Rhinolophus ferrumequinum: one gene and its partners. The protein of the gene in region 1 purifies or fractionates together with the protein of each later gene. This does not show direct contact. Links are inferred from orthologs where the notes say so. Each region holds a gene or a part of one and is shown on either strand. Other genes may lie near its edges. The genes, in order: MYBBP1A, SIRT7 and LYAR.

Region 1 (9,830 bases):
GTGAGCGGTGGAGCCAGGACTGGCACCCAGCGGTCTGGTCCCCCATTCCACATTCTTAACCGCCACTGGACTCGCCCTCAGCTTAGTGTGGGGAGTAGACAGTGCTCAGAACAACTTCAGTGATGAGGATGACACTCCTTCTCATAACACTGGGGTGGATGGAGGCCTGGGTATGCCACTGGCTGGACATGTCTCTGCTGAGGGGCCCAAGGGCAGAAGGGCTGACCTAGTCAAAACTCCATTCGCGGGGAAACAGTCGTGGGGGGCTCAAGTAGCTCACTTTACCCAGAGGCAAGAGACCCAGGTCCCAGGCCCCTCTCAACAGCAGCTATGCTTGCCCATCCCAGGCAGGGGCTGAGGCAGGAAGACCCACTATTGCAGGAGCAAAGAGCAAGCCTGTTTTCTAGAAGCTGGCTGATCGCTGAGGCAGCCTACCCCCTTCCTGAAGGAGGCAGCCGGGTTGCCCGGCCTTTTCTGGCAGTGTAGGGCTGCAGGGGCGGCACCCACCTTAGCAGTGACCATGTGTTCCCCGTAATGTCGGATCAGGTCCCCTCGCATCACCAGCTGTAGCTGCTCCTTGGACAGCAGAGGCAGGGCCGCACCCAGCAGTCGGAAACACAGGTAGCTAGGGCGGTGCATGACAGAGCCTGGTCAGAGCCCTGTTTCCCTGGTGGCTCTCAGGACTACCAGCCCATCCCTGCTTAACAGAGAAAAGGGGGTGGAGAGCAGACAAGCACCGCACGCACCTGGCTGGCCAGAACTGCTTCTGTAGTAGCCCTTGTTCCACAACTTCCTTCCAGAACCGTGGGAACTTGTCCTCCTCAAGTGCTAGGCGAAGCAGGTCCAGAGCCACAGTGGGCAGCTTGCGCTCCTTCTTCACAGAGGCAGCGGCCATCTTCAGCACAATCACCAGTCTTTGGAAGAGGGTGGAGGGGACTCAGGGGGCACCCACTGAACAGGTAAGGGCCAGGGCACCCAGGGAAGCAGGGACACCCCCCAAGCCATACCACAAAGCTATGGATGACCAGATGCAGCCCCTCGGCCCCAGGGAGCCCACCCACCCACCTCCCTCACACCTGGGGATATTCTCATCTGAGAAGAGGTCGACCGATCCCATCAGCTTCTCAAGCTTCGCGGGCACCTTCTGATGGGCCAAGAGGAAGAGCTCCAGGTGCTCAGGGGAGGCAAGTACTGAATTCAAGTCGACTTTGAGGACCTTCGGTAGGATCTCCTGCCACATAGCCTCTGGGACCTGAGGCGGGGACAGGTTGAGGGACGGTGGCTCTCTCACAGCATTTTTTGTCTCTCCCCGTTCTACCTGCCAGGCTCCCGTGAGGCCCCTGGCACAATGCCAGTCTGAGGTGGGATAGCCACAACCTACCCTGCCAGGCATCAGAATCATGAGAAGGATATTTGTTAAAAACCTTAAATCCCCAAGTCCCAGGAAGCTGGGTTGTTCACAAGCACCCCACTGATGCTAACTGGCCTGGGACCGCCATTTTAGTTCTCCTCTATTGGGTTTTTTAGGACTAACCCATTTCTTATACAAGGGTCCCCAAGTGGAGAGCTGGGGTTCAAATTCAGGTCTTCCTGGCTCTGCAGCCAGGGCTATGCAAAAAGCTGGGGCCCAGCTGTTGCTGTCCCTGCCTTTTCCTCAGTAGTAAAGGGTCCCAGGTACGAGCCTACCTCCATTCCCCAAGTAGGGCAGTGGGGGCCCTTCAGGGGCCAGCTCTACTCAAAACACATAGCAAACACGTTAGTATACTTGCCACGTGCCCGGCACTGTTCTAGGGCTGCACTGTCCTATACGGCAGCCATTGGCCACATGTGGCTACTGAGCATGTGCTCACCCGAATGGAGATCGGCTGTAACTGTAAAATACGTACTGGCTTTGGGAGCCTTAACGTGACAAAAAACAGTGTAAAACATTCCTACAACTTTTTATACCGGTTGTATGTTGAAAGAATGCTTTCAGTTATATTTTAGATAACTGAAATATAAAAGTATGAGATTAAGTATGTTACTAAACTATATTTATTTCTTTTTACCAGTTCAACACGGTTACTAAGAAAATGTCAAGTTACACACTTGTTTCTGTGCTGCCCTAGAGTGTTTCCGTGCGCTAACTCACGAGAACTTCTCCATGTTTCTATGAGTAGCGCTACCTGAGGTCCCACAGCTGGTTAAGTGCGTACCTCAGAGAGGATGTCCACCAGGGCCTTCTGGGGCTGCTCCTGCAAGTGGTTGTAGTACTGGGCCAGGGCTTGCAGCAGCTTCACCGACTTCATCAGTGCCTCTGAGTCCTGGTACCCACAAAGGGGGAGAGGGTATGAGGACATACCACGGTCCCCACCATTCCCAAGCCAGTCCACATCCTCGTGTCCCCAAAGCTCTTACCTTCACCAGCCTGCCCGACTGAAAGAGGGCTAGCACCCCAAACAGGTTTGCAAAGAGAGCGGGTCTCATCATGGCCTAGAAAAGGATTCCAGTGAGAAGGGCCCACGTATTCCCCATCCCGGGTCTGCTGACCTCCCTGAGGCCACTAACTCTCACCTTCTTAATTTTCTGTAGGTCATGTTTCTCTTCTATCTGTTTCAGGATGCTGCACAAGGGGATGTCTTCGAAAGACTGTAACAGCTGTCAGCAGTTGTGGCAGGAGGGAAAGAGGGGCACAGGGGAATGGCACAGCCACATGCCAACAGACTGCAACCTCCTCCCACTTCTCCCTGCAGCTTCTGCTCGGAGGCCTCGGGCCCCTGCTCCCACCCTAAGGATGCCTCTGAAGCTGCTCACCCCCTCTGAGCAGCGCTAATAATAGAACATGCTGCCTGAGTGGAGCTGGAGCCTCCCTGCCTCCCTGCCCCATGCCTACCCCGACTGCAAAAGTATCTCCTTTGGCTCCTCGATTGTTCAACTGAGATTCCCAGATACTGTATCCCCACAGCCTGCCCTGGGCACCCCCAGGCTGATCCTAAACGACTGATCTTTACTGCCCTTCCGATTGTCCAAGTTCCTCAGAAGTGGCCTATAATTAGCTAAGTGCCCCTTCCGGGGAGAGAGCCCTGAACCTGGCAGAGGTACGGAAACCCACTCCAAAGCTTACTACCTCAGTAAATGTCAATCCAAAAAGAAAACTGCTCAACCTCCTACTCCACCTGCAGGGGCTTCCCCATGGACAGGCTTCGCTTGCTCATACACCTCCTCCACGTGGGAACTCCTCCCATCAGCTCAGATGCTACTACCCCCCATCACACTTCTCCCTCAGACCACTGACTCCTTCCCTGCTCTGAGACATCTGCCCTGCTCACTCCCCACCGTTTTGACCCGCGTGGCTGGGACCTTCCAGGAGTCACCACCTCACCTGGGCCAGGGCCAGACTGTAGCAGGGCCGGGCGGTTTCTCGTCCAACCCCGAGCCCAGTGATCAGGCGCTTCAGGGCGTACTTCATCTCGGATCCCTGCGGAACCACGTGCATTCCCGGGTCGACCAGTGACAAGAATCGCACTGCACCAGCCCACCCCCGACTCTTGGCCCGCGCTCATCTGGGCATCCAGGTTCGCGACCACATGCCCCCAGTCCCAATTCCTGGGGTCCACCACCACCTCAGATGTGGGCCCAGGAATTGGGACTGGGGGCATGTGATCGCGAACCTGGACACAGCCCCCTGCCCCAGGCCCTGCCACCATACCTCTGGTCTGGTGCGCAGATACTGCAGGAGCTTCTCCGTGGCCTGAAGCCGCGTCTCCTGTTGCGGCTTCGCAATGTCCCAGAAGAAGTCCAAGAACTCGCGGCTGTGCTTCAGCAGGCCCTGACGGTCGGCGGGCCGGGCGCCGCTCTTCATCGCCTCTCCAGGAGACATAGGCTCAGCGTCGTCCTGATTCTCCGTCTGCGCCATGTTTCTGGAACACGTGGGCTCTGAAGACAGCCTCTTCCGGGTCAGATCGCGGCGCATGTGCGCTGGGTTGGGTCGGCTGGGGGCGGAGCCGGGGCGGGGCGGAGCCGGGAGGGGGAAGGCGCTGGCGGGGGGCTGGGGCGACCCGGTCCTTCTGCTCTTCCTGACTCCAGGAGTTCAGGAATTAGGACTTTTTTCTGAGTGCGGTGGGGTTATTGGAAGGTTTTATGGATGGGCTGGGCTTGATTCTATTTAAATTTTTAAAAGGTTATTCTGCAGCTGTGTGTGGGGTATGAATTTATGTAGGAGTGCAAAGGTAGACGCAGGAAGAACAGTTAGAGATAATGGTGGGTTGGACTAAGGTGATAGGAGAACAAGTAAAATTTCAGCTAGTTTGGAGCTGGTAGGAGGTGATGGGTGTGGAGGGAGAAAAAAAAGAGGGATGCCAGATTTGGAGCTAAAATAAATGGGTAGATTGTGGTGCCATTTACTGAGCTCAGGAAGAATTTTCTTTGCTGGGGGAGAGGTGGAGGTGGTGGGATCAAGAGTTCTTTTAAATCAGACATACCTTTTACAATGTGTGCGTGAGGTACTACCGTGTTTCCCCGAAAACAAGACCGGGTCTCCTATTAAATTTTGCTCCAAAAGACGCATTAGGGCTTATGTTCAGGGGATGTCATCCTGAAAAATCATGCTAGGGCTCTTTTCCGGTTAGGCCTTATTTTCGGGGAAACACAGTACTGGTCACCCCCGTCGTGGACTTGAGAAGCTGTCCCTGGACAGTTGTAGTGAGAGAGACCCTAGCCCTCGGGGAGGTTAGCGTTGAACCTGGCCTTTAAATTCCATACACCCAGCTCTTGCCTCTTTTGTGCCCCTGGGGCATCTCCTACTCACCCTCTCAGCCTCTTCCTGGTTTTGCTGTCTGCTTTAGAAAGTGAGATTAAGAGGTTTATCTTGGAGGTGTAGTGCCCTAGGAGGCAGGAGGTGAGTAGAGCAGGGGGAGCTGAAAGACACCAGCCCAGGCTCTGTCTCTGGGTGAGGGTCTCCTGTGCTGCCCATTGGGGAAGCCCTGACACCAGGCACCTCAAAGACTTATGGGAAATGAACCAAGAAGCAGGAATGGAACATGGAGTCTGGGAGACTTGCTTTTTATTTTGTTTCCAGCCTCGTTGGAGGAGATCAGAAGAGGGTGGCCTGAAGGAGAGGGCGGAGAGGCCAGCAGCACCCCTGGCTCTGCTTGCCCTGCCCACGGGGTCCTGAGCCTAGGCAGGGCCTTGGCCTTCTCTTACCTTTCCTTCCCAGAGCGGGATCTGAACTCAGGGCTGACCCCAGGCCCTGGTACTCTTTTCTTATCCTCAGTTTCCTTAGCTGAGAAGAGCCAGTTCAAGTAGCTGAACAGGCTAGAGTTTGAGTGCCTGAGCCAGCTGTGAGCGCATGATTGGTGCACACTTTTTATGCACTCCATCGCTGCTGGGTCTGCTCTGCTCCTGCCCCTCAGAACCCCTGGAAGGGGCAGCAGCCATTGGGGACACTGGAGACGTGGGCATGCTCTGCATGGACTGCCACCTGGAGCACGGTCCCTTGGCCACACAGGTTGGGGCTCTCTGTTGGTCCTTGCTGGGCTTGGTGCTGGTGCTGGGCCTGGGCTTGGAGCCCGGCCAGGTGGCTGAGCAGGGCGCGAGTTGTGACTCTGGCCACTTCAGGGGTCCCTGAAGCCACCAGCCCCAACACGTCGGCTTCTGTGTCATCTAGGCTGGTACGAAGGATGAGGGGGCAGGACCAGGTACTAATTGCAGACTTAGCTACCAGGTTGCTGAGTAGAACCCCAGTGCTTGGGGACAGGTGTCGAGAGCCAAAGGAGCTGTTGAGTGAGGAGGTGAGAAGGAGCACAGAGCCGCTGCTGTCCACGGTGGCCAGGACGCTGCTCATGGGGGTCACAGTAGCTTTTTGGGGTAGTAGGCAGGGGTCAGGGCGGGCCCCTCTAGACTGTAGGGCTGCCTCCAGCAGTGCCTGCAGTTCTGGGCCAGCTGAGGGGCTGGGGGTGGTGAACAGGATGCCCTGGGCCAGAGGTAGCTGCAGTGCTGGCTCCAAGGTGGGCATGGGCTCAGCTGAGGACCCATCCAGCCCCAGGTCTCTGGCCAGCGGACTCAATAGGGCATCGTTGGCAAAGTCGGGGGTTGGGGCAAGTGCTGCCCTGCGTAGCACGTCTGCCAGTTTTGGGTTGGTGGCTCGGGCCCCAAGGCTCAGGGGGGTCCCGTCAGTGTGGCAAAGTAGTGGACAGAGACCCTTTGTGCCCTGGGCTGCCAGAGCCCTGGCCAGGGGCATGTCTACCAGGAAGCCCTCTTGAGCCAGGGTGGTGGGGCCCACCAGCAGGCGTGGCCAGGGCAGGCGGCCGAAGTGTGTGTGCAGCAAGCGCAGGGTAGGCAGAGCCGAGGGCATCCCCAGGCCGGGGGCCAGTGTCTGGACTGGGCCTGATGTCAGGGCAGTTGAATTGCCCGAGGAGCCATTGTGGAAGAGGCCCCAGAACATGGCACCTGGGGGAGACAAAGGGGTCACACATGGGTCAGGGGCACTGACTGGGGTCAGGGTCACTCTGTAGCCCCAGGTAAAGGGCAACTGACTTAGCCTGGGGTCAGAAGTTACTGACTAACTCTGGAGACCCACCTGGGGTCAAGACCACAGAGACCTGGGATCAAGGGTCACAGCCTAGAGTGGGGATACTGGCCACGTCCTAGGTCATGCTCACTAAACAGCCTTGAGGTCAGGCCCACTGAATGCCTGGGTTCCAGGTCACCAATGAGGCCCAGGGTTGGAGTCGCTGTCTGGGGTTGTGGGTCACTGACCTAGGCCGGTGGCGTGAGGATGCACCACTGCCAGACACAAAGCTGCTCCAATTCCGGCATCCACGACATTGCCCCCAGCAACGAGCAGCTCTTGGCCCAGGTGGGAGCACGCGGCTGCAGCAAGGAAGGGACTGTCATGGGGAGGGGCCTGGGTCCAGTGACCCTGGCCCCTCCCCTCTCCCGAGCTGCTCCCATCACTGACCTGCAGGGCTGATGATGGCACCGTGGTGGTATACGCCGGGGCGGTGGGAGTGCCCACTGGGTCGAGGGGCAACAGAGCCAAAGGTTTCTGTAGAGCTACCCCTGGTGTGGAGTTGCCATGTGGCCAGGGAGAAGCCAACAACCAGCAGCAGCAGGGTGGCAACTAGCTGGGCCCAGATCCCAGGCCGAACACCACCTTTCCTGCAGAGAGGGGTATCTTGAGCCAGGGCTGGGGTAGGAGGACACCCATGAGCTCCAAGAAAACCCAGGGACTGTTTCCGGAAAGACTGAACTTGCTTGCAAGAGGAATATAAGTTTGCCAAGGAGAAGGGCCTCTTGGTAGATGGTGTAACCTAGACAGAGACGTGAAGATTGGGGAAACTGAGGACAGCTAGGGAGGGATCTCTGGAGAGAAGGTTGGAGAGGCAGGGTTGAACCTGGCTGGAGGCAGGCCTGACGGGGGTTTGGCAGGCTTGAGGAGCAGGGCCCGGCCAGGTGTGGCCAGGCCCCAACCTGCTCAGCAGGTGCCTCCTGAACTAGGGGGTGGGGTCTGGGAACCTTTGACAGAGCAGCTGGCAGGGCTGGCTTGGTACAAATTTTCCTTCAGACACAGACCTTGGGTTGACTGGCTCAGGCCAGATCTGGGGCTGCAGGTTCCCCCTATTCAACCAGAAAGTTCCTGGAGCTGAGCCAAGCACAGGGTTGTGTGACCCAACCCCCCTCTCCCCTTACGGACCCCAGAGGGAGGGACTTACCAGCTGTAGGCCCGAGTTGCCAGGTGCCCAGACCACTCCCTGACTCACCCATAGGAGTCCTGGGACTTCCAGGGGTCGGGGACGAGTAGCTCTGATATCTCTTCCTCTTCCCCGTCAGGCTCCAAGCTCGGCTCCCAGAGCAGCAGCTTTTGGTAGACCACAGGCTCTGCTGTGACTTCCATGGCCCCGCGGTACCCGCCTCAGCTCGCCTGCCTGCCTGCCAGCCTTCCCAGCTGAGTCTCAGGAGGCCCTGCCCAAGCCAGGGAGGTGGAGGCAGCCTTAGGGAAGGGTGCCGTGGAATCCAGAACAGGTCTAGGCAGGTCATGGGGCCAGCGAGGCTGCGCATAAGTCTGCCCCATTAGGACACAGGGCCGTAGGGGCTCATGGCCGGGCACTCTGTCAGCGGACATAGCTCGGTGGACACAGCCCTTGGGCCACAGCCATAGACCCTGAGACCCAGGATGCCCGCTGGTTCCCTTTCTTAAGTGATGCAGCCCCTGGATCCCCTGGCCTGTTCAGGACTCTACTCTAGGGACAGTAGAGCTTGAATTGGAACTACAGTTACATTGTGGCTTGAATCAGGGCTCAGCATGTGAGTAGGTTCTGCTGTGAGGAGGTGTTTGGTCTCTAGCTGGGGTCAAGAGTCAGCCTGAGGCCCTGCCAAGGATCTGGGTTTGTCTGGGGAGCAACTAGTGGTGAAGGCACATCATGTGGCTCTTGTCCAGCAGGTGGCGCCACAGGCCTCTTGGGGACCTGCAGCCTGGAAACCATGTTTCCAAGTTCCTTCACTCTGTGATTCACATCAAGGACCCCAAAGAGTGCTGCAGGACAAGTTATGGACTTCAGTCATATCCATTCTGTAGTCATCTCTCTGCTGACCACTCTATTATGACCACTTCAAACCTTCTCCCTCTTCCCTGCCTCAAACCCCAAACCCTCCGACTTGCACTCTCAGTGAACCATCTTCCTCCTAGATCACATGGACACATCAAGACTGATGGAAGGAGCCCCCAATATCCACCCCTTCCTACAAACCCACCTTCCACATCGCTCTCTCCTCCCCATCTGATGCAATGGAAAAGCTACTCTCTGCCTCTGGTTCTGGCCCAAACCTTTCCACCTCTTGCCTCCTGCTTCCCCAGGGACCTCACTCTCTTACTGACCCCTTCTTTCCTGTAGCTTCACGTCTTCTCTACTGGTTCCTTCTCAACAACTTTTAAACGTCAAGTCGGGAATAGGCTTGGTCAAGACGGCGGAATAGGTAAACGCTATGCTTACCTTCTCTCACGACCACATCAAAATTACAACTAAACTACAGAAAAACCGGCATTGAGAATCACCTGAAGTCTAGCTGAACTGAAGCCCTACAACTATGGACATACAGAAGAAGCCACCTTGAGACTGGTAGGAGGGACAGAAACATGGAACGCGCTGGTCCCACACCCACATGTGACCATTAATAATCAGGAGGGATTAATATTCCATTGTGTATATATACCACATCTTCTTTATCCAATCATCTATTGAAGGACCCTTTGACTCTGGGTGGTGAGCACACAATAGAAAAATAAAAATCAGGAGAGATATCCCAACTGCGGAGGTTTCCACTGAGGAATGAGGGGTCCAAGCCCCACACCAGGCTCCCCCGCCCAGGGTTCCATTGCCAGGGAAAGAAGTCCTCATAACTTCTGTCTCTGAAAACCAGTGGAGATTGTGGCTGAGTGAGATGGAGGTCTCCTAGAGTCCCAGGGGCTCCTCTTAAAAGGCCCACTCACGTACTTACTCCCTGATGGACTCAGTTGCTCTGAGTTCCAGCGCTGGGGAAGCAAATCGAAAGTCGCCAGGGACAGGGAGGAACTGAGTTATCTGGCTTCAGGGCGATGGCTGGAGGGGCAGTTTTCTCCCAGATGGAAGAGCTTGCAGAAGCCATTGTTTCTTTGATGAGCCCTCCTCCCTCCCGTATGTGCAGCCACAGGCGGCTGCCATATCTGGGTCTCTAACAACCTGGCTAACACCCTTTGTTCACCCAGCTCTGGTGATTCCTGGAAATCCTGCCCCACCCAACTTTCGAGCCTACCCGAGCCTCGTCTAGTGGCTTTTCCATACAAATGGCCTATCTAGGATCATACTGCGGACTTT
Region 2 (8,981 bases), about 41 Mb from region 1:
TGTCTAAATTATCACAAATTCTGTATTAAGGCAGTTTAAGCTCCCCCCGAGTTTGCCAGCTCCCCAAACCAAGTGCACTGAAATCTGTTTGCCCAGCACTGCCAGGCGCATGTCCCTTAAGGGACCTTCCCCTCCAGGCCATCTGAAGCAAAGGGGGACGGACCTCCAGGCACACACTAGCAGACTCCCTCTCCCCACAGGGAGTCCCGTCAGTCAGTGCGCCTTGGCCAGTCCCTGCAGAGGCCAGCACACTGCAGTGACGCCTGACAGTTTTCAACACCTCGGAGCTTTCTCTGTGCTTAGCTCCCAAGAGCAGACAGACACAGCCCATCCACACGGGCAGCAGGGCGATGGGCCCACGCCCCCTCACCTGCTATAGGGGGGTATCTCCAGGCCCAGCTCATCCATGAGGAGTTGCATGACGTCATCACACCTCCCGTGGAGCTTCAGGGCAGCCCAGTCATCCTTTGGGGTCCACTGGGGACAGGGAAGGTGAATGAGGACAGCACCTCACTCCTTCCCAATGCCCTGTGACCTGGGCTCTGCTTGGCCAGCCCCCCAAGGTGCATGAGTTCAGGACAGAACGTCACAGGGCCTCCTAAGGCTCAGGGCTCAGGAGGCAGCTCTGAGCACCGAGTTACCTGCAAGTTCACAATGTAGAGCTTGGGCCGCCGGCTGGGGGGCTTGGTCATGCACCAGAGGCGCGGGTATTTCTTCAGAACCTGCGGGGACAGACGGACACAGACCACACGACCGGGGAACGAGGCTGTAGGAAGCTGCTGGCAGGGTACTCCCAGCCCAGCCACAGTGCCGGCTGTGTACCTTTAAGCTGGAGCCTAAACACAGGATCGTATCCGCTTTGCTAGCAGCCTGGGTGGCTGCCTCCCAGTTCAGGGGCTGCCCCAGGGTCCCCCGCTCCCCAAAGTGCACGATGGTGTCCCGGAGCTGGGCCCCACACTTGTGGCACACCCGGCCAGTCTGGTGTCGGTGCAAGGCGGTGCGCTCCGTCACGTCGAATACCCGCACGTACTCCCTGTTGGGGGTGCAGGCCGTGCAGACCTGAGGGGGAGGGCACTGTGAGCAGGAGGCACTGGCCCGCCGCACCCCCAAGGCCCGGAGGGAGCGCTCACTTCAATGTACATGTTTCCGTGGAGCTCCGAGATGGCCGAGCGCGGCAGCCCACTCCGCAGGTGGAGCCCATCGCAATTCTGAGACACCACGTGCTGCACCTGCGGGAGGCGAGCGGGAGTTGGCGGGAGGGCCGTGGGAAGCAGCACCCACCCAGCAGCGCCACTGGCCTGTCCTGAGTCCAGCCCAGCACCCCCAAACCAGAGACAAGTCCAACCTCACATGAAGCCTCGAAGGCAAGACCAGGGCAGCAGGCTGGTCCGAGCAGGGCTCAGCACGGCCGGCCCCAACAAAGGCTGACACACTGGGAGTGTCAGCAGGGTGAGCCTCGGCTGCACGGGGCTCAAGCCCAGGCTGATGCCCTCTTGGGTCAGTTTCAGGTCCCTGAAGACCCAGGAGGATCGACCCTTCCCCACTTGGTTGGAGATGCTCAGCAGAAGGTCTCCAGAGACTTCCTATGAGTTCTAGCTGGGATGACTCAGAGGGGAAGCTGCCCTCTTGAAGAGAAAGCATGGAGGATCAGAGGGAGGCCCAAACCAGGACTCTAAACTGCTTGGTGGGCACGCATTACGGGGGTCCACTGGCCATAGAAGTAGGATGCAGTTGTCACTATAGCACCAAAATGGTGCTCCAGGTCCCACGCTGTGGACACGGCAAGCACAGCAGCTGGCCACACAGGGCTCTTACCAGCTTCTGCTCATGTAAGCGGGCGATGCTCATGTGGGTGAGGGTCGGCTCGGCCTCACTCAGGTCGGCAGCACTGCCAGGTGAAAGGGGGTACAGGTGAAGGGAGCTTCGTGGTCAGGCTCCTGCTGCCCTGCTCCCTCGGTGGCAAGGCTGGGCAGACTGCTTACCTAACACTTCTCCCTTTCTGAAGCAGCGTCCACACTCCATTAGGACCCCGGTAATCTGGGATAGAGGCTGCCTGCATGTTCAGAAAGAAGATAAGCCTGGTAAAAAGGCATCACAGAAGCCACTGACAGAATTCCCAAGGACAGAAAGCATATGTTTCTCCCAGCGTGTTGCAGGCTGACCTGCAGACCGGCCTCTATTCATTCCACAGGCTCAGCATTTCCTAGTCTAACATGCCTGAACCCAGATGGAGAGTAGCCCATGTGGCTCTTTCCCTCTGCCTGGACTCCCGCTCTCACCTGGTCCAGCTCATCCTTCCAGCTACGCTTCCTCTGGGAGCCATCCTCAGTACAGCCTGGCTCTGCAGCCACACCTGTCCTCCACACTGAGGGTGGGACTGGTCAGCCTCACCTGTGTGTCCCCTGGGCCTAGCCAGTACACCAGAAAGATGCAGAGGTGATCCCCTAGGTGGGATCCCTCCTCTGTCCAAATTCTTCCACCTTGATGCTGTGCTTCCTGCCCTACCTTCACAAAGACAGGCCAACCTCTCCAGGTGAGAGATAAACACCACTGAATTGCCCAAGTTCCCAATCCAGTGGAACAAAGCCACGCAAGACAAAGAGAGAGAGTGTGCCAGGATCCAGGTGTTCTGTGCTCCTTCTGTGGAGCCCTGTCTCCTCCCTGCTGCTTACGCTCCAAAAAGTGCCCACCCTGACCCGTGGTTCCGACTCACATCACACAGGGGAAACTCAAACAGCAACACTCACCCCAAATTAATGAGCAGCACACACCTTTAAGTAGGCACCTGAAGCTCTTTCAGAGGTATTATTATTGCTTTTAAATAATCACACGACGGGAGTTCACCCGTGAATGTGGAGGGAGGAGACCAGATTGCCAGGGCTCCGGAGGGTCCGTAAGTCACAACCGTCAGCCCACCCGACACATTCTAGCCACTGCCCTGCACTCATCCCTGCCTCATGTCACCACCCGTAAAATCTTACCCACACTTCGAGGCCCAGACGCAGTGTCACCTCCTACAAAAACCCAGCTGGGATAATTTCCCAGCTGAGACCACGGGGTGTGTGTGGATTTCAATTGTTGACCTAACACAGCCAGCTTCACGTGACAGCTACATGCTTATATGCCTTTTCATGTCACCTGTGGGCTTCTCCAGGATGGAAATCCTGTGTTCACCTCTGCTGGGCCTGCACGCGGCTCACACTCAATCCACCCCATCAGACAGACAGATAACGTGCCACCCACGTTGTCAAAGCAGCTCATACCCATTCCATGGCCCAGGAGAACATCTCCATGGAAGTTTTCAAAACCCAACACACCTCCCTTCTTTGCCGGGTGTACTTTAATTTTTACGGCCTTGCTTTCTGCTTTACCTTCCTTCAACACTCAGAAAAACAATGAACGGGGAATCAGGACACAGTTTGGGGCTTACCTCTGCCCACATAACTTTGGGACAGTAAATTAACCTCCTTGGCTTAAACGAAGAGGTGCCTGCAAGAACTAAGTTATTACGTCCCCTTTCTATTCCTTTTCCTTTCTCGTCGCTAACTGGGTCTAACTCGGACTTCAATCCTGTAAAAACGTTTCTCTACTCAGTGACGTTCCAAATTGAGTCATCTCCGGCTTTTCTAAGAGAGGAAAGAACCTCAGGGCTGCTTTTAAAGTGAGTTTTTTTGCGAACCAGTAGTTTTCCTCAGTCCTTGGGTCACACGCCCAGAAGGGGGCGCCCCGGGCGCGTCCCCTCCAGCCCCCCGCCCGGTGGTCCGACATTCGTCCGGACCTGGGAGTCGACCCGGGCGCACGGCCATGGTCACGCCTCGCCTCCCTACCGTGCTGATGCCCGCGCCAGTGTAGACGACCAGGTATTTGGCGTTCCGCACGGCTCCGGCCAGCTCCCGGACTTTCCGCCGCAGCTCCTCCGGGTCGTCGCACACCTGCCGAGACACCCAGACCGCTCGTAAGCCCCGCCCCCGACCCGGCGAGAGGCCCGCAGACCCGGGCGCCGCGCGGGACTCGCCTCCTCCTGCCGCCGCTTCAGGCCCTCGCGCCGCCTGCTCCGGCCCTGCAACTCGGTCACCAGGTCCGCGCTCTCGGCCAGGAGCCGGCCCTCCTCTGCGCTGCGCTCGGCCGCCGCCTTCCTCAGGATGCGCGACACCTGCGGGCGCGGGGCAGGTGGTGAGGGCGACGCGAGGCGGGGATGCGGGGCGGGGCAAGAGGTGACATACCTGGCGGAGGCGCTCCCGCTGCTGCTCCTCCCGCAGCCTCCGGACCCGCTCGGCCGCCTTGCGCTCCGAGCGGCTCAGACCCCCGGCTGCCATCGCCCCGAGGAGATCCACGCTTCCGCTTCCGCCTCCCGGCAGGCCGCGCGCCGGCACATGCGCGCTAGGCCCTGCCCCGCCCTTCCGGCCCCGCCCGCACCGCCCCAATTTAAGCACCTGCCAAGTCTCTTTAAAAGGTGTTTATTGATCATATACAAAATAAAGAAAACCTTATATATCACAAACATACACTATGTACAGCAATAAATACCCGGGGCCCGGCCCAGTGCCGCCCCTCCTGGACAATAATTTAGCAATAAATACTGCACAGGGCAGGGTGGGCGCCTAAGCGGGCCGCCCTCACGAGGCCCCTCCCCACCTGGAGCTTCGACGATCCCCGCCGCCCGGGCAGATCCCAGGATACCCCCACCTCCCCCTGACTTCAGCCCTAGGCAGGACAGGCAGGGTCTGATCAACTCTGCCTGGACCCACCCTCTCAGCGCCAGGAGAGCAGCAGAGCTGGACACACTGGCAGCCCTTGTCCTGTTGCCCTAAGATGCCAGGAGAAGGCTTTCTGTACCCACTCCCGTTTGGTTAAAGGCTTCCGGGACTAGCAGATTGAGGGGATGGGAAGAAGGGAGGTGCTGGGACACGAGGTTGCTGGAAGGGTCGCTCCTCATAGTTCACTGGGGACACCCACATACCAAGGCTGGGGTGGAAATGTATGCGACTGGCCCAACAGGTACAGCACACGCCCAGGACAGGCCATCAGTCTCGAGGGCACACCCCTGCCTCTGTGTGTCCTCCGCTCTCTGTCCCCATCTGCTCCAAAACCAGACAGCCAACAGGAAGGCAAAAACGCGCCAAAAAGAATTATTCAGTGGCTTCTGGGGAAAAAAATCGTTAATGTGTTGGTTCCTTTCACCAAACCACAGCCTAAAAAAGTAACTTACAAGATCCCAGAGCGGAAACAGCACTGCAGCCTGTGGCTCCGGCTTTCCAGCTGTGGACAGGAGCTTTGGCCAAGTGGCCACTCCAGAGATGGAGGCAGCGGGGACCGGATGGGGCCTGACCACCCGTCCCAAAGCAGGCTATAGATCAGAGCTGTGGGCCGGGCACTGACCACTGAGGCTGTTGCTGACGGTCCGGGTTGTGCACACAGACCGGAAGCCTGGACCAACAGGAGGAAAGCCCGTCAGAAACCAGCACACTTGCCAGCTGCCATACAGCAGCCGCATGTTCTCACCTGTACAAAGGGTAGTGCCACCGGAGCAGCAGCCAAGGGCTGTGGGGAGTTTTCCCTGGGGCCGTACTCTGGGAAGGAGCTGACCTCTTCCCACAGGCTTCTCTGAAATCTAAATGTCCATGTTGGGACAGGGAGGAGTTGGGCGAGGGCACGGTGGGAGCAAAGGTGCACGTTGTGGTTTACTGAGCGGACAAGTTTGGGAGACCTGGCTTTGGCCGAAGCCCTCGATTTGCTGTGTCAGAAAAGTGGAGGGGAGAGAGGGGACACAACACCCTCACAGTAGGAAAACCAAATTAACAAGAATCAGAAAGACACCAACCAGTCACATGTGGACACAGTCTACTGTCAAGAAACCAAGGGGAGGGAAAGGGGTGGAGTGGCCCTGCAGGCCTGGCTTGATGGGAACTGGATGCTCCCCCAGACCCAAGGAGCAGTTGTTCCAAATCCAAAAACCCTGAAAGAAACCACGGCCTCACTAACTCCAGAAACTTCCAGAAACCAAGGCCTTGCAATATGTGTTAACACATGCCTGCCCTCAAACCCTCCAGGTCTACAGCCTGGCAGGGGTGTGCCGAAGTGGACAACGACCTCCCGGCCAGGACAAAAGTGGGGACCGTAGATGGACATGGAGGGTCTGTTCCTCCCACCACCAGGGCAGAACGTGACCTCCCTTTAGGGGCTGTTATGATGCAATTCCAACTCACTGCTGCTACAACCATTGACAACTCTCGTCTGGAGCCTGCGAAACAGACAGACTGGAAGGGGAGGAAGCCACTCTGTGATCTGGAGTCAACAGTCAACATCTCCATTGCAGGCTGACTCCAGTACAACTAGGAACGTCTCTGAGCATTTAGGGTCCACAGAAGCCCATCGAGATGGCAGAAGTTGACAGCACATCCTACTCCCATCCCATGGGCACACTGGGTCAAATTCTGGGATGAAAATCCTGCTGCCCACAAGGTTAATTTAAACCCTACCAGGCAGCACTGATGCACTTCTGTGCTTTTCAGGGGGTCAGGGCCCCCAGAGAAGCCAACCCAAGGAGAGGCCAAATGAGGCCCATGTGGCTGGAGACGGGGCACTAGCCTCCTGGGGAGACGCCACAGGCAGCCCGTCACGTGCCTATGAGCTTCCCACCCGAGTCTGGGAGACTGGCTGCCTCTGCCGAGTGGCCGGGATGGGGGTGAGTGTGGGCTCAGTCCAAGAGAAGCACCTCCATAAGCTGGGCAGTGGATCCCTGGAAGACACAGACCCAAAGGGAGGCGGAAGAAGGCCCAAAGCCGAGAGCTGCCAGCACATTCAGGGGCGAGGAGGGGCAGGACCGGCCCTGGACACTAGCCCTTGTCTGGCACTGGTGGAGACCCCCAGGCCCTCAGGCAGGCAGAAAGGACCGCCCCAGGTGGGCCCCGAAACCACCTGGTTTTGCCTGGGAAGCACCACCCGCAGCATGGAAACAGTCCTGGGACAACTGGGCAGCAGGTCTTGCAACCCCTATGTGGGCCCCTGGGGTTCCCCTGCTGAGGCCCATGTGAAGCCTAGAAGAACAAAGCTGGGGTCAGTGGCCAGAGCCCAAGCACGGTGACTGGACACCAGAAGGAAGACGGCAGGGGCAGCTTGGCCGTGGCCCCGTGGGCACCCACAGTGACTCCTTGGTCCCTGCAAATCCCCCACCCAGGGCCAGAGGCGGTGGGCATGGTAGCAGCATGGGGAGCCCCCGGGATGGCCCCCAGTTTCACCTACCCTGCCAATGGATCAGCCCAAGCCTGAGACACGCATGCGAAGCCAAGGGTCAGAGGGGAGTGGGGGTAGGAGTGGCAGAGCCCGGAATCTGACCTCCTGGAGGTCTGGGGCAGACGCTGAGGCAGAAGAGGCCAGGCTGGTGGGCACCAACCCCCCCAGCTCTGCTGCAGCACGTACCGCCTGGCACCCCAGCCTGAGCCTGGCAAGCCAGCAGAAGCAAAACACAACCAAATCCAAAACAAACACAGGAAAATAGACACAAGAAGTGACACCCACAGGTCAAAGGTCACCAGAAGCACCAGCACGTGACGCTGCACAACACCTCACCAGGCACAGACGACACCACTGCACCGGCAGGAGACAGGAGACGGAAGCAGGAAGGGCAAAGGAGTAAGTCACTTTCGGTACAATTGCAAAAGAGAGAGCAAAGAGGACGTCAGGACGTGCCTTCTGGTCGCTCGCGGCTTGGCTTTTTTTTTTTGTCTTTTTTTTAAACTAAGTTTTATAAATAACATCTGATAACTCTGTGTATATAAAAACTAAACTCCAACAGCCACAAAGACTTGTCTGTAAGTTTACAAGAAAGGGATTTTTTTTTCTTTTTTTAAACTAGCAGTTTCTATTATACTTTCTTCCCTTTTCCATTTATATGGTCAAATGTTCTTGCTTGTTTTTTGTTTTTTTTTTTTAAAAAGACAGTTTTATAAATACTCTGCAGCTCTTTTTTTTTCTTTAGCTTTTAAACATATAATTTAATAACTTCGTAAAAGGAACTTCTCTCTTTTAAATAAAGGGCTATGTAACCACACAAATAGGTCATGTAAACAGTGACACGGGACCCATCGCAGGACACTGGACACACCCTTCACGTACGCTCACAACCAGTGGTTTGGTCTTGTTCAGTGCAATGCGTCAGGCGAGAGTGCCGAGGCCCGGGCCCATAGCCGCACGACGCCCCATCCCCCAAGCACCTAGGCTGGTGGCCTGCCTGTCCAGGGTCCCCAAGGACACCCTCCTCGGAGCAGAGCCCATCTATACCTCTGGCTGAGCTGTGAACTACCCAGGCCCCTGCCAGTGCAGGCGGCCGCCAGAGCCTATGGGACACTCAGCCTAGCACGCTCCCTGCTCAGGGACCCTTGAGCCCCTAGTGTTTGCTCGATCTTTCTGCCCATTCGCACAGGACCACTCTGGACTCCAAGCCCACATGGCCTTAGTACAAAGGGCTGGGGCGGCCCCACGTCACCACCGAACTGACCAATCCCAACATACAAAACACATGATGACAACGACGAGATCAAGGGGCTCAGCCCGGTGCCCCTGGGGTGCAGGTTGTGCTTTGCAGGGAAGGGAGGAGGTAGGAGAGGAAGAGGGAAGGAGAGGAGAAAGGGGGGACAGGGCTGCCAAATTCGCCATGCGCCTAGTGGCCCCTCGAAGACCCGCCTGGGCAAGCGCATGTCCCTACGACCGGGCGTCCGTCTTGGACTTTACTATTGTGATGACGCTGGTGGCGGCCACCTTGCCGGGGACGAGGGGCCCCAGGCCGGCAGCAAGGGGGCCCCGAGCTGGCGCCACGGGGCTGCGGGCCACGGTCCTGGCGAAGTTCTGCAGGGCCTCATACTTGGAGCGCAGCGCGTCCAACTCCAGCTTCATGCTGGCGTTTTCCGACGCCAGCTTCTCCACCTCCTGCTGCAGCTCCGCCTTCTGCTTCTCCAGCTCCTCCTTCTGCGTCACGCGCTTCA
Region 3 (9,743 bases), on another chromosome or scaffold:
AGATGTGCCGGCCAAAATGAACGACCGCAGCCCCCAACAGGCTGTGTCCCGGCCAGTGCTGGAGCCCGAGCCCACTGTCATTAGTGACGTGACTTTGGGCAATGGCTTCTCCCTGCCCTGCGTTCCTCGCCCTGTCTCACAGGTCACTGAGATACACCCGAGAACCATGCACACATCACCACAGCGACTGGCACGTGTGAGTATTCCCTCCCAAACGTCCCCTCTGAGGAACACCTGGAGAGCCTGCTAAAAAGGACCGTCCGGACGCTGCCCCAGACGCTGCCCCAGACGTCCGCCCCGTTGAGCGTGGGGCCCAGGCATGTGCACTGTAAGCATCCAAGGGCTCTGAGCAGATGGACTGCACCCCTCTCTGCCTTGCTCTGTCCTCCAGAAGCCTCTGGTTCTGCTACTTCCGGTCCTGGGAATACTTTCTTTACTTCTGAGTCTCCCACCTTCCACAGAATGCCCACTCGGCTGTCAGCAACTCCGAGGAGCCTTCCTGCCACTCCTAACATGTTCCCTCTTCCCCACTGCTGCTCCTCAAGCCTGACTTCGGGGTTATCCTCTTTGGGATGATCTTAAGCACCCCTACACACTTCCAGAAGATAACTTGTGCTCCATCATTTGTGTGTCCAGCTCTGCTGTGAGTTCTCAGGGTACCATCTTACTCATCTTTGCCTGGCACGTGGCAGATACCGGGCCGTTAAAATTCATGCTCATTAATGATGGTTAGTAATGTTTTCTATTTATGTCTTTTTGACTCCCTCTACATTCCTCACGATAGCTCTTCTAAATCCTTCCCATTCTCTTCATTCTCACCATGTCTGTCGCCCTCATCCATAAAAGTGACCGTGACCCTGACTTCACTAAGAAGGTAGCCCGTGGATAACTTGCTATAACCTTTAGTTTCTTTTCTTAATCCCCAGTTCCCACTCACCTCTCCCTCAGCCCCGTCAGCTCCACAGGATGAAGTGTCCCTTCTCCCCTTGATTCTAGCTCCTCCCGGCTCCCCCGAGACTTTGCTTCATCACCACCCCTTTCATTGCTTTCCTCGGTCCTCCACCGGCTCACCAGTTCCTACAAACACACCAAGCTCACCTCGTGCTGAACAAAAGCAAAACAAAATAGGACAACGAAACCTTCCCAACTAGGTACATCTATGCATCACAGGCCTCTTTTCACACTTTCACAATTGTCATCTACACATCTCGCTTTACTTTCTTAAGACCCTTTCTCACCTTGCAACATTCTGCCATTCTCACTCAGATGCTGAAACAGACTTGCCCACAATTGCCTGTCCTCAGTCCCAGTCTCCCCAGCTTTCCTGCAGCAAGTGGTCATGTAGTCTGTCTGTCTCTATCTTGAAATTCCTCCTCCCCAAGAATGCTTCTGCTTCTCTTACTATGTCCCCGATCTGCTGTGCTTCTTCCTCTGCAAGCCCCCGAAATATCAATGTCGCTTAAGCTCAGCCCCTGAGCCCTCTTCTCTTTCCCTTGACAATCAAATCTGCTCTTGGCCTTCATCTGCTCTACGCAGACGAGTCCTAAATTTGGAACTTTAGTTTTGACCACGAGTTCCAAACGCCCAACATTTCACTAAACATCTTCAACTGTATGATCTTTCAACTCAGAATCTCCAAAACTTACCCCCATCATCTCACCCTCCGCTCTATACCTTTTCTGAGTCCCCTATTTCTTAATGGAAAGCTTAGTTTCTGGTGTGTAGAGTTTGGGGTGCTGGCGTGATCTCCTCGTTCGAGATCAGGGTGGGATTCCGAGAAAGCCAGGACTAGAGGAGGTGGTGTGATCTATAAAGAGCAACACTGCAGCACTGGGAGTGGATAATATTACCCCCGAACAAGAATACAGAAAGGGAAGCATTATGTGGGACGGTGGGGCACTGTCCCCAGTGCTGAATCCTCCACGGTCCTGAACAGCCAAATGGCAGCAATCAGTTACCTACCCCTGCCCCACCGGTTGCCAGAGAAGAAAAGGCTTCTTGGTTCACTATTATTAATTGTCATTTACTGACTGCTTATTACAGGCTGGGCACCGTGCTCAGCATATTATATCCATTAATTAAAATAGTGCAACGTGAATCCTACTATACCATTTTACAAGTGAGGAAATTAAGAAACAGGGAGTTTAAGTAACTTGCCCATGATTATAAAACTGTTATGTTCCAAAGCCAGAATTTAAATCCTGGTTCTTAAACCCTGGAGTCTATGCTCTTAGGCTACGCTGTCTCCCACGAGAAAAAGGATATAAAAAGCACAACACAAAACCTTCCTCCATACACTTAAATGTTAACAGGCAGCAAATACTCTGAATCTACATTAGACGTTTTCTAGCTATACAGAAGTGATAAAGGGAAAAATTCTTTGGAATGACCCTGAGAATTATGATGATATGCAAACTTCAGAAGCATTCCACAATTTACTTTGACTATAAAACTTATAATGATCCATATTGCTTAGTGTAATTCTCTAATTGCTTCATGATGTTAATCCTATACCTCCCTTATAAAAAGCTCCAGAGAAAGAATTGGTAGCTTATATTTCTTTTGTGTGACAACGGTCAGCAATAATGTATCCTGTACCCAACAAAAGTTAACAACAAATATTTATAAAATGTTTCCTATATGCCACCAGGCACTATTCCAAGCCCTTTACACCTGTTAACTTATTTAATTATCAGAATAACTGTAAGATAGGTACAACTATTCCCTCAGTTTTAGATGAAGACAGAGAAGCACCTGGCGGATTACAGATGGCCACAACTTCTTTGACACTCCTCCCAGGGAAGGTGGGATCTATGTCTCCTCCCCTTGAATCTAACATCTGTGCTCATTTCTGGGCCCAGGCCCTAAGAGCTGAAGCTCCCACCTGCCATCTTTTGGAACAATGGCTCTGGAAGGCCTGCGTCGGCAGTCAGACTGTAAAACGCCCTACTGGAGAGAATACATGGAGTAGCTTAGAAGGAATCAGCTGGGCCCAGCCTCCCACCAGCCCTTCCCGGTACCAGATATGGGAGCAAAGACACAGTGAACGCTCCAGACCAGCCCCACTACACATCTGTACCAAGAATGTGACGGCGGAAAGATGGACTGAGTGGCATAAAAAACAATGAAAATATGGGAACCGAAAATGAGAAACACACAAGAAAAGCTTAGGCAGGTGTGAACGAAGAGGAACAAGAGCCAGCATGGAATTCTATCTACCCTGTAGAGACGGCTAGTGCAGCAAAGCAAACCTTTCTGTCCAATCTACCAACTGGCCAAACACCAGAGGAAAGAATCTGTGCAAGTCTGTTCAGTGGGGCCGTTGACAGATGACTTCTCCAAGGGTCCACAGCTCATGCACCTGGCACTGAGCTTGCCTTAGAGTGATGCTACCTTCCTTTTAGCCATCATGGTTTTCAAATGGCTTGTTCCCAACCCCAATGACAAATGCACTGGCTTCAAGCAAACAAGCCTGGATTCCTGTCTTAGCTCTATACTGACTCTGATGCTACACGGGCCAATTCACGGAAGCAGTATTGTGGGCCTACTATGTGCAAGCGTTGTCGTGAGGATGGAATGCTGATAAACTGAATGAGATATGCTCCCTGCCTTCCACAGTCTGTCTCAATTTGGGCCTCATTCGCTTAACTTTAGTGTCCACTAGATGCCAGGCACGGAGGGTCACGACGGTGAATGACTCAGATACGGTCATCCATGCCTTCGTGAAGTGAGAGAAACAAGAGTAGCAACGCACTGCAGATATTAAATAGAGGAAGCACAAATTAATTTGGGGGAGGAGGGTTAGGGAAAAACTTCCTTGAGGAAGAGACATCTGTGTTGAAATCTGGAAGTTAAGTTTGCCAGAGAAAGCAGGGAGCTCACCCTGAGTTTTCAGGGGAAGCAAATAGGGGGAAAAAAAAGAAAATGCAGGAGAGCGCCACTAAGAATGAGGCACCCCTACATGCCCTGCACATAAAAATGCCTTGAGCACCCTGCTTTTCAACCTCTTGGCCACTCTGTCACCTTTGTCAGCAACTACTTCCCTTCTTGTCCATTCTGGTGAATTCCTTGTTAAGGGCTGAGTTGCATCCCCCCCAGATTCATATGCGGAATCCCTAACCCCCTCGGTACCTCAGAATGCAACTGTGTTTGGAGATCAGGCCCTGAAAGAGGTTTTAAAATCCAATCCAATGAAGTTAAAACTCTAATGCAATCTGACTGACGTCTTGTAAAAAAAAAAGGAGCCCCAGGGATGCTCATGCAGAGGAAAGACCACGTGAGGACCCCCAAGAAGGTGGCCCTGACAAGAGAAACCAAACCCGCGACACCACTTCCAGAGCTGTGAGAAAAATAAACGTTGTTGAAGCCACTCGGTCGGCGGTATTTCGTCATGGCGGCCCTCGCCAACTGCTACACCTTCTATTCCAGGCCCAACACTGTTGGTCCCAGAGTGAAACCGCCCTTATCAGCCCCACCCCCACCCCAGGGTTACCGTTTCTCACAGTACTCGGTCCATACTCCAGTCACCCAATGAAGCCGTGAACACCTAGTGACCACCCCTGTCTGCCAGACCGGAGAAGAACGGCGAAGCGATGTAGTGCTTTACATTCATCCACTCGAGAAATCCTGCGAGACCCCGACGCAACAGGCACTGCCATTGCACGCCTTGTGCAAACGGGAGCCGAGGCACGCCGAGTCCACCCGGGAATGCCGCTGGGCCGGGTCTGCGGTCGTGGGCACTGCTCTCAACCACAGGGAGGCAGAGGGAGATGGGAACCGAGCGCGGGGAGCCCCGGACGGGGAGGGATCGGGGGCTACACGCGGGCAGTGCCCGAGCGGGCGGGAGGCCGGGCGGGGACGCGGGTGGGCTTCCCAGGCCGAGGAAGCTGCACACGGACACGGCCGGCTCCAGGAGCACGCCCGGATCTTTTGTGTCCCGGAGCCAGAGCACGGCGCCGGGGCTGCTTAACCCCCTCACGACCCGACCGCTCCCCCAGACCCTCGCGGTGCCCGGAGCTGCGGAGGCGACGGCGAGTCCGTGCCCCGCCCGGCTCTCGGGGCCGCGCCACCGCGCGGGACCCGCACGCCCTCGCGAGGCGGCCTCCGGACCCGGCGGCCACCTTACCCCGGGAGACCGCTCCGCGCCGGCCTCCGCCTCTTCACCTACCGCGACGCCCTCCGCGCCGCTCGCCGGGCTCCGGGGGACGCGGAACCATCGCGACAACGCCCCCTCGGCCGGCCGGACCCGCCCTCCGGCTTCCGCTGCCGTCACTTCCGCCGGGCGGTGCAGCCGCAGCGCGCAGGCGTGCGGGGCGGCTCGGAAACGAATTCTGCGCGGGGAAGCTCGGGAGCGAGGCGGCGGCGGCGCTGGGCCGGCGGCGGAGGCAGCGGCGGCGATTCCACGTGCTCCGCGCGGCCGGTTGAAACTGTTGGCGGACGGCCGCCGAGAGGTGAGGAGCAGAGGCTCAGAGGTCCGACCTGGGGGGCGGGCGGGCTTGGAGAACGGGCAGGGGAGGGGGCAGTATGGCCGATGCCTGCGTTTCCACCCTGCGAGCCCCTCCTTTGGTTCACACACGTAGAGGAGGGAGGAAATCTCTGCAGAGCTTATTGGTGCTCTGCTCTGGGGAAGTGGAAGGAGCCCTGGATTTAGGATGACCACTTATTTCCGGTTTTAAAACGGAAAGGTTCTTGTGCCGGGAACCTTCTCTGTCGTGGGCCAAGCGGGACGCTTGGTTCCCGCTGGCCTGGGGTTCAGGCTTGCTGCATGTTGGGGACAAGGCTCTTGTCTTCTCTGAGTCTTGGGGAGCTCGGGCCCTCCGGAGGAGGCCTTGGGGCGTAGTGGTTGAGAGCACGGGACTCGCTCTTAGGGCTCGAATCACTGCGTGTGAATCCAGGTTTACCACTAACTGGATGCGTGACCTGCTGCAAGTGACTTAATCTCTTCGTGCCTCACTTGTCTGTCAAAAGGGAACAGTATAGAACCTAACTCAGAGGACTCTTGTGAGGATTACATAAACACAAACGTGTTAACCATCTATGACGGCTTGGCATGTAGTAGGTGCTCAGTAAATGTCAGGATTTTCTGCAGCTCCTTCCTCTGAGGAAATAGGTAGGGGGACGAGGTGGGGTGTATTTGCAAGGCTCACTTTCCTGCAGAGAGGGTCCGCTTGGGACTTGTGCGTACAGCACCCCCAGCCCCCTGGCATCTAGCATGGAGCCTGACAAGTGGTAGACTTCCACAGATGGTTATTACACCAGTGAAGGGATGCTGTTTAAAACAAGGCTGGTGAGGCAATGTGTGGGGAGGGGTGAGGTTTGGCTTAACCACTCCCAGTGTCAGTTTGCTCATTGGTTAAGTGGAGACAAGTGTACCTACCTCCTAGGGTTTTTGCAAAGAGCAGGGGAGAGCTCCTGCATGAAAGCACATCTGGACCCTCATCACTCGCACATTCGGGGTTTAGACAGGATGGTGGACAGTATGTGCTCGTCTGTCCAAGAAATCCCAGAGTTTCTTGGAATTCTACCCTGGGTAGGGGCTCAGGGCTGGTCTAGTGGGCCTGATCCCTTGTTTCAGAGATGGAAGAACTTGAAGTTCAGACGGGATGGTGACTAGCTTGAGGTCCAAGTGCCTATTGGTGACTGTGCTGAGGTTGCCAGCCTGGCCTGTCAGATGGGCTGTTGTGGTGGTGGTGGTGGTGGTGGTGGTGGTGGTGGTGGTGGTGGTGTTTAGGTCTGTGTGTGTATGTGTGTGAGAGAATGGTTTAAGATTAGTGAGTGTAGTTTTTGTAGAAAATAAACAATATAAAAATGTAGAGGGAGGAGGCTAAAAAATTATTCCAAATCCCGATCCCAGAACTGATCCTGAGGTCACGTTATAAGGGAACAGGGTGGTAGAGTAGCACCCATGGGGTGGGGAGCCAGAGGAGACTGGAGTGAATTTATGAAGATAGATGAATTGAGGTCATATATAAAGAAGCATGGGTTTAGGAGGTTACTGGGTGTAACAGCATTGCGTGCAAATTGATAGGTCACAGGAAATTCTAGCATTGGGTAAGGCTGAATCTTTCACATCTGGTATCTTATTTAACTTTCCGCACAATGCTCTAAGATAGATATTAGGCCCATTTTATAGATAAACAGATTCAAGTTAGGGTGCATATCTTGAGGTCATTTAGCTTTTAAATGGCAGATGCAGGCTCCAGCTCAGATCCTCTGGCCCTGAGTCCAGTCCTAGTTCAACAGCACGGGGCTACCATCTTGATAAGAGGAGACCGAGGTGCCCCAAGTTCCTCACAAGTTCCCAGCCTTTTACTGATGCTGTCTGCTGCCCCTCCACTCAGCATCACTCTCCAGTACCTGACATCCTCCGCTGTGACACGGCTGGTCTTGCTAAGTGGGGGCTGGCCTTAGAATTAAGACTTGGGGCCCTCAGACTTTAAAAGGCCAGGTCATTTGTAGAGCCTTTGTGGGATGAGGGTCTCAAGGTCCCAGATGCTGAGTAACGGCCAAGGACATGACCAGTCCAGATGGAGAGGCAGGGCAGGAGATTGGGCTTATCACGTGGCCTGTCAGGCTGCCTCAGTTTCCTCACAGAGGGAGGTGGTGTGATCATAGCTGTTCTGGAGGTGTTGGTGCAGTTGTGATGGTACAGGTGAAATCGCTGTGTGGAGAGCTAATGGTCATGTTCTAGAAGGATGTATGCATCATCATTTCCTTGGGTTACGACACGTGGCGAGAGCTCAGTAAGTTGACCAACAGATGAATAGACAGAAGCTCACACAGAGGACCTGGTCTGCTTTGGGGGAGTGCACCTGGTGTGTATGGATCCTAGTGCCTACCTGGCATGCAGTAATGTCTGCCGAGCTGAATTACAGTGACTTCCCTGGGCCGAGTACCCACAGATGCTCTCAACCGGTCCACAAACATTGCTTTCTGCTTGCCCTTCTCTTTCACATGCCCACATCTCTAGGAGGACGAGCACACAGAATCTCTGTGGCTGCATTGGGACCTGGCCTTGGGCAGAGAGAGTGGGGAACCAAGGGAGGAAAAGGGAACTCTTGTGTAGGTTCGGCCCCATAAAGAATGCCATCTTTTCACACTTGGGGCTAACTGTTGAAATGTATGACATCTGAGCCCAGTGGACGGCTTCCTAAAAGTCTTCATGCAGCATGTTTTCAGCTTTCCTAATTTCCAAAGGAGAAATGCTACAAGTTTACCCAAAACATCATTTGAACGTTTATTTAAATTTCTTCCACATTTATTTAGTCCTGTGATATTTGAGTAACTTTAATTTTTTGTTTTAGATGATGCTTGCTGTTTTCAGTAAGAGGGAGTGAGTGTTCACATGGTGTCTTTTTGTCAGTCGATGCACTGACACTTCCGAAATCGTTAAGCCTGCACCGAGGCACAGGATACCTGTGTGCCATGCAGTTAGGATGGTTTTTAGCTTGCTGTTCTTTGCAGTGTGCCGTCCCGTCCGTTACCCCCCCCCCCCCGCCCACTCCCCCACACGGAGACACACAGGTGTTTCCTGCTTGAGTGACAGTGTATCCCCGGAGGGCTAGGTGAGGTGTGAGGCCTGATCAAGGTGACCCGAATCAGGGAGAGGTAAGCTGCTCACAGGCCTTATCTATCTCATTAGCGGGCAGGCGGCCACATTGTCCCCATTTCCTATCAAGAGTGAAAATGCAGGGAAGACTAAACGTCCTGAAGAAGGCACTAAGAGATAAAGCTACTCATTCTGCCTGTAAAAGCAAAGAAAGAAACAAATTTCTAAATGTGAACATTTGCCGTAAAAGACTGAATGAAAATGGTTGGAGAGGTGTCCAAATTCTCCTCCTCTCCTGAACTGACGTTTACTCTGTGTGGCTGATCCCCAGAAGGACGCATGGTGACACAGATAGTCCCAGCCTCTTTTTGTCAACGTCACTAGCTGCTTTCAGTTGATACGTTTTGTTGCCACTGGTCTTTCCCAGGCCTTTAATTGCTGACCTGTGACAGACCTGGTCTCCTAGTTGGATGTCACAGCTTTCCGAAACCGTCTCCTCTCCCCCCTAATCAATCAAGAAACAGAATAGACCTCGACCAGGAAGGTCAGAAAGCTCTAGCTTAACTCGGAGAGGCTATTTTTCATTGTTGACTCTCACGATGAACAGACTTAGACATTTTTCAGCAGATAATTTGGCTTCTCGAGCTGCTTCTATCTTGTGTGAATGATGGCCATCTATTTCTTGGTGACTAGTTAATGGTTTGCTCTTCTTACACCAAAGTGCCCCTACAGACTATTTATTGATAATGTGGTGTTGGCCCTTGTTCCAGCCTTTGTTCTCCCCGGAGAGGCAGGGTGTCCTCATCGCGTGTCATTAATTGAGCATCCATCTGCCAAGTGCAGAAGCTTGGCGGGGGGTGGGATTGGGGGGGCTCACAGTCCACATGAGTCCAGCTCCCCAGGACTTGTGACTGTTTCACACATCTTTACGGTAACCTGTTAGAAGGTGCTCGTGGCTGCACATCACACAGCAGTCTGTTTGCTCTCCTCTGGATCCGCTACGAGGCTGTTGCTGACCAGATGCCCTCCCTTGCTAACCGAGCCCGATGGTGAGCAGAGGAGGGGCCCCGGGCCGGGCGCCCTCGTTTGGTGTCAGGCAGGCTGATATTCGGCAGTGCCCCGCAGAGCAAGGCCCCCACAAAACACGGGCTGGGCCTTGGTGAACCCTGGAGTCGCAGCGGACGCACATGTCCAT

Evidence for each region.
Region 2: the proteins of MYBBP1A (region 1) and SIRT7 purify together in Homo sapiens (affinity purification with western blotting; 3 studies listed by BioGRID, with this or other methods). This does not show direct contact. The link is inferred for Rhinolophus ferrumequinum from reciprocal best matches to the Homo sapiens genes MYBBP1A and SIRT7.
Region 3: the proteins of MYBBP1A (region 1) and LYAR purify together in Homo sapiens (affinity purification with mass spectrometry; 3 studies listed by BioGRID and IntAct, with this or other methods). This does not show direct contact. The link is inferred for Rhinolophus ferrumequinum from reciprocal best matches to the Homo sapiens genes MYBBP1A and LYAR.

What each region holds. Positions count from the first base shown.
Region 1 is NC_046304.1:14,119,496-14,129,325, reverse strand, and holds the start of MYBBP1A (myb-binding protein 1A), read right to left. Parts: upstream 3,968-9,830; 5' UTR 3,953-3,967; coding exon 3,689-3,952; intron 3,458-3,688; coding exon 3,362-3,457; intron 2,638-3,361; coding exon 2,554-2,637; intron 2,473-2,553; coding exon 2,398-2,472; intron 2,304-2,397; coding exon 2,196-2,303; intron 1,253-2,195; coding exon 1,077-1,252; intron 915-1,076; coding exon 747-914; intron 626-746; coding exon 508-625; intron 1-507. Other genes in the region: GGT6 (glutathione hydrolase 6), read right to left, coding at 5,387-6,426, 6,736-6,849, 6,938-7,137, 7,740-7,873. UniProt on the Homo sapiens protein: May activate or repress transcription via interactions with sequence specific DNA-binding proteins. Repression may be mediated at least in part by histone deacetylase activity (HDAC activity).
Region 2 is NC_046304.1:54,691,588-54,700,568, forward strand, and holds the start of SIRT7 (NAD-dependent protein deacetylase sirtuin-7), read right to left. Parts: upstream 4,384-8,981; 5' UTR 4,317-4,383; coding exon 4,224-4,316; intron 4,154-4,223; coding exon 4,016-4,153; intron 3,933-4,015; coding exon 3,828-3,932; intron 2,054-3,827; coding exon 1,983-2,053; intron 1,889-1,982; coding exon 1,816-1,888; intron 1,230-1,815; coding exon 1,131-1,229; intron 1,060-1,130; coding exon 823-1,059; intron 723-822; coding exon 642-722; intron 478-641; coding exon 371-477; intron 1-370. Other genes in the region: transcription factor MafG, read right to left, coding at 8,701-8,981. UniProt on the Homo sapiens protein: NAD-dependent protein-lysine deacylase that can act both as a deacetylase or deacylase (desuccinylase, depropionylase, deglutarylase and dedecanoylase), depending on the context. Specifically mediates deacetylation of histone H3 at 'Lys-18' (H3K18Ac).
Region 3 is NC_046288.1:82,854,238-82,863,980, reverse strand, and holds the start of LYAR (cell growth-regulating nucleolar protein), read left to right. Parts: upstream 1-5,286; 5' UTR 5,287-5,450; intron 5,451-9,743. UniProt on the Homo sapiens protein: Plays a role in the maintenance of the appropriate processing of 47S/45S pre-rRNA to 32S/30S pre-rRNAs and their subsequent processing to produce 18S and 28S rRNAs. Also acts at the level of transcription regulation.